2 linked regions of the Drosophila melanogaster genome follow. The main gene of each other region encodes a partner of the protein of the gene in region 2 in a complex. Each region holds a gene or a part of one and is shown on either strand. Other genes may lie near its edges. The genes, in order: dgt2 and wac.

Region 1 (3,547 bases), on a different chromosome or scaffold from region 2:
GAAACTTCAGCTCGTTAATGGCGTGCCCGTGACCAATGTAGTTTTTGCTGCACTGGTGCTTAACCGGATTGAATATGCGAATGACGCCGCGGTAACCAGCCGCGGCAAGCACAGGATCGCCGGTCACAGAGTCGTAGGACCAAGCGCATGTGTAGAAACTTTCATCGGTCTAACGAGGGCGTAACGATGATGTATGTAAGTAATAGCATATGATGAGTACTTACATCTGGGTCTGCGTAGACTTGCAGCAGTCGAATGCCTTCGCAGGACTCCTGTCCGGTGCTCCTCTCGCACTCATAAATGGAAACCCGATCCTTGCCAACGGTGGCGAACACCTGCGGCTGGCCTCTGTCCAGGAACGGATTGAACTGCACTCCGAAGATCTGATGGTTGTGGTCCTCGCGGACATGGGAGCTGCAATGCATCCGGGATATAAACATTATGACTTATGTTCTGCCTGGAAAAATCACACCTATATTTGTACAAGGGCTGAACCATTTTGGGTGCCTTGATCCGCCGACACAGGCGGTTCAATTTTCGTGTATTTGGCGATTTGCTTCTGGTGGTGGTCGTAGTAGTGCTGAACAAACTGGCGGTGTCCTCCCGATCCACGGAATTAACTTCGTGCTCATCATCCGGCTCCACAACATTGCAGACACTCGAGGAATTATTGCTCAGCACTGCCTCCGCTGGAGAGTGGTCAGTGGATTCGTCCTCTGCCGGTGGCTCTTCGCTCGGAGGAGATATTTCACTGGGATTCGTTTCGGTCATATCTGTTTTATTCCGGCAAACTTAAAAGCTTCTTTTGTTTACAAATTGTTTATCCCTAGAGTGACCGTCTGCAAATACTGCAGTGCAAAACAGTGTTGCCATTCTAGAGCGAAAAGACCTAAACGAACAACCCTGTTTAAATCACAATTATAATGTATTTAAAAATCTAATTTACATAATACTAGTTTGCTTAAATCTACTTCTTGGCGGCGAGCAGCTCGTCCAGGTGCGCCTCCACCTCCTTATGTGCCTTGACGCTATGTTCGGTGCGAGAGGCGGCCTCGTGGACGAAAAATCCGCGCAGTAGTTCTGCTTTTGTTTGAACAAGTTGCGCCTGCGCCTGTTGCAATTTTAGTTCGTTTGCCAACTGCGGCCCCAATTTCAATTCGGCGGTCTCCTTGAGAAGCGTGCACTTACGAGTGAGAAGCGCAACCAATTTCTCCAGACCGCTGCGATGCTCCTCCTCCAGGCGCAGAATCTCCTTTTGGTCGCAGCTTAAGTCCGCCTCCTGGCCAAAGGCGTCCGGGAACTCCTCGCGTATCCTGTCGCACAATTCGGCAATGGGTTGCAGAGTTGTGCGTAATTGAGCGGACAATTTGGTACGCACCGTCTTGCGATCCGTGTAATTCAAGGGCGGAAAACTGCTGCCGCTCGGTAGACCTGTTAGATTTCCAATGGTTATTCACTGCTTTTGGAATAAACTTGTAACGCGCCTACCAAGCACCTGCTCCTGACCAGCTCCCTCCATCTCGCCGAGTCGCGCATAACTTCCAATGGAAACCAATTTGAGGGCTCTTTTGATTTCATCACTCGGATTTGGGCCCACATCCAGGCGTCTTAGCTCGTCCAGCACTAGCTTCAGCTTGAGCACCTTCTTCAGCTCCGCATCGCGAGCCAGCCGCAAATCTTCCGAGTGTTCGGGCAAGAGCGTGGCGGATGGATCATCCATTTAGGTGGTAAAATGCTTAAATTGACCCGAAATTGATTGTTTGATTCGAATGGGCAAGCGCATGGCTGCGATACGGCAACGCTACTGAGCAACAGTGTGACCGGTAGCTACTAACGATAATATATTTTACTTATATTTTATAATGGTCACCCCAAGATTATTATTTAAAGCGCGCTAGAGAAACGAGCTAAATTCAAAAATGTTGATTACCCAAATAATTATGAAACAAATTCGAGACTATCCCATTGTGTCCACAATAAGCATTGCCGTCAGCACTGTCCTGGCCTCAGAGGTGATTTGGAAGCTGGTGCAGTGCTCGCGCAGCAAGCGAGAGAAGGCAAGCCGCGTGCACGAAGTGATCATCTTCAATGAACTGGGCGAGATCTGTGCGGCGGTGCATATGCGCAACAGCAGCATGGGATCCCAGAAACCACAAGTGTCGCCCTGCTGCAACACGCATTGTTCGCTGCGGAATGTGGCCAAGATCGTAGAGCAGATCGATCGGGCTGTATACTCCATTGACCTGGCCATATACACCTTCACCTCGCTTTTTTTGGCGGATTCAATAAAGCGGGCCCTGCAGCGCGGCGTGATTATCCGGATCATCAGCGACGGGGAGATGGTCTACTCCAAAGGTTCTCAGATCAGTATGCTGGCACAATTGGGAGTTCCAGTTCGCGTCCCCATTACCACGAACTTGATGCACAACAAATTCTGCATAATCGACGGCTTCGAGCGCGTCGAGGAGATTCGTCTGCTGAGGAAGCTCAAGTTTATGCGTCCGTGCTATAGCATCGTGATCAGCGGCTCCGTAAACTGGACGGCTCTTGGACTGGGAGGCAATTGGGAGAACTGCATTATCACAGCTGACGACAAACTCACAGCCACGTTTCAGGCGGAATTCCAACGAATGTGGCGGGCTTTTGCGAAGACCGAGGGGAGCCAAATCCAGCTCAAGTAGAAATCAATTGATTTAATGTATGACTACCAAACAGTTCCTCAGTATGCCAAATAATTATAGTTCTTATTTTCTAAGTGCCTTCAATTAAACTAAAACTTTTTAAGGCAGCTTGATCTTCACACACAAAGGAGTGCCAAATTAATTAAGCAAAACAAAAGTAATCAAAATGTATACCTAACAGTATAATCCGTATGAAATCTTTATCACTTCGATTGAGTTGACTAATTTTCAACGTGCATTTAGTTATGATCAGCTTTGACTATATATATAACTTTCTACTTTATTCATCATGTTATTGAAAGCTTTTAAGTAAATAAAAGTTAATTACAAAAAAGATTACATGTATGTATGTACAAAACATTCCGAAATATAACTGCTACAGATTTCTTTACTCTTATATAGTTTCTAAACCAAACCAACTTATCAACTATTTGTCCTGTTGCTTCAGCTTATCAGCGCGGCGCATAAATGACTCCTTTAGGCCGTTGAGTCGTTCGATTTCTGCCAGAATCTCATAATATTCCAGATAGGATACACCCGATTTCAGTAATATTTCTTGTTTTAAAGTGAGCACGCGGGCGACTTCCTTTTGCTTGCGATGCAAAGCGTTCAGTTTGAGCGAAACGGACGACTCCTTGGGCGCCTTGGACTTCTTGTCGTTCTTTGATTTCTTGGACTTCTACGGGGATCAAAATGAAATAAGTTTTAGGTCGCAAATAATTTGTTTACGTACTTTAATTTCCATTGTTTATGTGGAGATCTCCGCGTGTTAAGTTGTTATTAAGTTCGTGGTGAATGGCAAAACAAAAAATAAGAAGAAGAGTAGGCGGTGTAAGTTTAGTCATTCAAAAAGGTAATTTTAACAA
Region 2 (3,538 bases):
AGTACAAAGCCGCGCAGGAAGCAGCTCGGGTCGCGCATCTGGCCATCTGGAAGTACGGTGACATAACGCAAGATGATGCGCCCGAGTTCCGCTAAAAGATGCCCGGAAACGTGGAGTAGGCCTGTGGCGTGGAGCGCGTTGCTAGCCGAAAAGATTGTCTGCCACATACCCGCCCTTTATATACATAACAACAAGCAAGAACTTAAAGAATATGAAATTACTAATTCTATCTATACACCAATATATATGATACATATACCACATTGGAAATACACAAATACATACATATGAGCAATGGCATGGAAGAACACGGTACACTTTTTGTATGCTTTAAGCAGCTGGCAAATTATTATTTGGTCTTCTAGTTTTCCTATCATGATACTTTAAATAAATATTTGACACAACCTAGCAACAATTGGAACGTTTTTAAAATGCGTACAATAACCAAAATAAGTGCACCCTCTGATTGTGTAGTGTTCCAAGTTGTAAACCTCAACATTCATCTTTAAAATTTGCAGATTTTATGTTTTTGTAAAGTGTTTTGCATTACTGAGTAAATACAATTAAATAATTTTTTAAAAACGAAAGCAATTCACTTCTTTAGCGCTGCTCCAGCGAATCTACCTTCTCGATGACACTTTCAATGCTAAAATCCTTTGGGATCTTAAGGGTTTTTTGCCGGTCCAGTAAGGCCTGTTTTGTTGCAAGCTGTTGGGCGTTTCGCTGCATTACGACGATATCCGGGATGAGCCGCTCTTCCGCAGCAGCATTAAATCTGCAGAAGAATGGTTTTGGTCAGGGATTCAACTATTAAAGGGATTTGTTCACCAATACCTCTCCAACATAACTACGTCCCTAGTCGCCTCCTCGATGGACGAGAGGATGCGCTGCAGCTCTACGCGTTGCTGCACTGTGGTCTGCCGGTTTTCTATGCATTCCCTCTTCTTGGCACAATAGAAGTCGCGCAAGTAGTTCAGATTGATGTCGTGAATGTGCAAAAGTGAATAATATTGGGCGCATTTGTCAAGGAGCGCCAGGTCATCGTCCGAGAAATCGCCCAACTCGACGCTAGCCAGCTTTAACTGGTCATCGAAGTGCTGGCCTAGACGCATCAATGAATTGACTTCCTCTTGGATCTTCAAGTTCTCTGCATCATAAGAATAATTAGTTGTATGCCTAGCGTTTTTTTTAAATAAACTCACGCATTTTTACTGGAGATGACAAGCTATCGATGGTTCCGAAAAAGATACTACCGCTTTGCTCAAAACGCAGGCGTATAGGCAGCCGGCTTAGAAACAATTTAGACTAAGTTGGCAGGACTTTGCTTTTCTTCGCCACTAATCGTATCCAGGTTTCGCATGTCTTTGTCTTCGTAATCCGAATGTGATAATAGGCGCCTTAGGTGCAGATATCGATAGTCTCTACAGTATTTCAGGGCTACCTAGCAAAATGCCACCAATTGCTTTTGTTGAATCGAATTTTAAGAGACAAGCGATTAAAGTAATAAATAATAGAGCTTTTTAATTGTAATGGTTCTATGCCTAATATCATTAAAAATAACACTTAAATTCGTGGTTCGATTACTTGGGCAGTGTGACCGCATCTCGAAAATTGAAAAAGGCCGTTGTCCCAAGAGTATGAAGAAATAGTTATCAATTTTTCGCTAGTTCATAAAATCGATTTGTACTGCTATTTTTCTTTGTTTACTTTCATTGTGCAAATTCGTAAAAGACATTCGTAATATCGTGTTTTCTAACTAACCCAAAGTACTGGTGCTGCGCAAGTACGGATGTATTTATTTGCGTCGGCAAAATGTGAAATAGAATAAATGGCAAATCGATCGATTTTTGACAACGAAGTGGGAAAGTAGCGGTGTCTGGGTGTGTTTGTGTACTGCGACCAGCCAAAGTTTAGACGAATCCTCCAAGGAAGAGGATAGAACAAAACCCTAAAGCCACACTTTTCATCTGCCATGGAGCACACTGCCTCGCTGCCTGGCTACGTCCGCGAGAAGCTCGCCGAACTGGACTTAGAGCTGTCGGAAGGTATACCTATTTGAATAATACACACAAAAATAAAATATTGTTGTTAAAGTGCGGCGACTGAGTTGTAGAAAATCGCGTGAAAACTGTGGCAGACGTAGTCTGGTCTGATTCAAATCATTGGATACTTGTCGCCCCCAAATGGGATTACAAGTGCTGTTCTCGGCTTTTCTTTCGCTGAAAGCTGCCCACATATAGTCGGGGACCGACCAATTAAAAGAAAAGTGTGTGTGTTGTGTTGTGTGGCTTTCAGCATGAATACATGATTCAGTCGCTACTCCACGCTTTTCAAAAAACGACGAGGCCCAGCGGACATATTAATCGTTAAGAAAACAATTCCATCTGCTTTTCTAGGTGACATTACGCAGAAAGGCTACGAAAAGAAAAGGGCGAAGCTGTTGCAGCCGTTCCTAAAGAAGCCAGAAGGTATGTTCGAAAACATTGATATTTGGTCGTTTGGTCGTCACCAGAAAGTTCTTGATCCTTTTGTTGTGAACAGGCGATAAAGTGAAAAGTACGCCGCCACCGCCATACTACAACGTTAAAAATGCCAACAACAGCACCAACCACGGAAACATCAATAACGACGGCGTCATTGTGTCCAGCGAGGGCTACAGTTATGTGACTGAAGTGCCCTCCCTGTCCTCCTCGCAGCAAAGACATTCCAAAAAAATTGACTTCCATCAGCAAGCCGCCATGAGCTTGTCATCGGCACCACAGAGCGGAAATGCTGGGGCTCCTGGCTACGAAAATATGCGACCGCAGGGTGGAGCAGTCGGCGATCCCGGGTATCAGAACACTCGCGAACCAAGTGCTTTTCAGAACCAACAGTCAACTAATAATAGTCAGCATCGTCAACGACGCACACAGCGCAAAGTAACGCACAATGAGAAACGTTATCATTCTGGTTAGTAGAACAAGTTACAGCAACAACATTTTATCTCTGATCATCTGACCCCTAGAAGTACGACAAGAGGCTGTGCAACAGGCCCTTGCAGCTCTTAAGGGACGGCCAAAACCCAGCCTTCCAATGCCATCGAAGCGCACATCTGTATTAAACCGAAGCCCTGGGTGCAATGATGAGCTGGACTCATCGACGGATGACGAATCCATACCCGAGGAGACAATTTCCCCCGACAAGGAGTACAATTATCCACGGGATCATATAAGCAATAGCATACTGCCACCAGAACCGATAATTAAACCTCCAATTCGTGAATCATCGATGGGTTCACAGCAGCATGCGAGGACAGACGTGAAACAGAACCAAATTACAAATCAAAAGTATACGGCGCCGAATAGCGCTCCAGAAAGGCGACCACCGCAAAACTTACCCCCACTTGTGAGTAATATAATAATAATACATTTAAAGAGGAAAAAAAGCTAGCTTCGACAATATGTTGATTGTGAATATTTATTGCAGTAAATATATACTGTTCAGATGTGAACAGACTAAGACCGAAATATATGTATTAAAAGAATTATACTCTTTAACT

What was found.
Region 1: wac (region 2) and dgt2 share a complex: the UniProt entries of both Drosophila melanogaster proteins name them as parts of the augmin complex.

Annotation. Positions count from the first base shown.
Region 1 is NT_033779.5:11,988,197-11,991,743, reverse strand, and holds dgt2 (dim gamma-tubulin 2), read right to left. Parts: upstream 1,809-3,547; 5' UTR 1,721-1,808; coding exon 1,489-1,720; intron 1,432-1,488; coding exon 968-1,431; 3' UTR 772-967; downstream 1-771. Other genes in the region: escl, read right to left, coding at 1-169, 225-414, 473-771; zuc (zucchini), read left to right, coding at 1,920-2,681; CG34163 (uncharacterized protein), read right to left, coding at 3,109-3,360, 3,415-3,426. UniProt on the Drosophila melanogaster protein: As part of the augmin complex, plays a role in centrosome-independent generation of spindle microtubules.
Region 2 is NT_037436.4:256,060-259,597, reverse strand, and holds wac (wee augmin), read right to left. Parts: upstream 1,423-3,538; 5' UTR 1,207-1,422; coding exon 1,203-1,206; intron 1,193-1,202; exon of another isoform or gene 1,148-1,192; coding exon 835-1,147; intron 776-834; coding exon 601-775; 3' UTR 501-600; downstream 1-500. Other genes in the region: Tudor-SN (tudor staphylococcal nuclease), read left to right, coding at 1-95; DIP2 (DISCO interacting protein 2), read left to right, coding at 1,973-2,045, 2,397-2,468, 2,542-2,949, 3,005-3,384. UniProt on the Drosophila melanogaster protein: As part of the augmin complex, plays a role in centrosome-independent generation of spindle microtubules.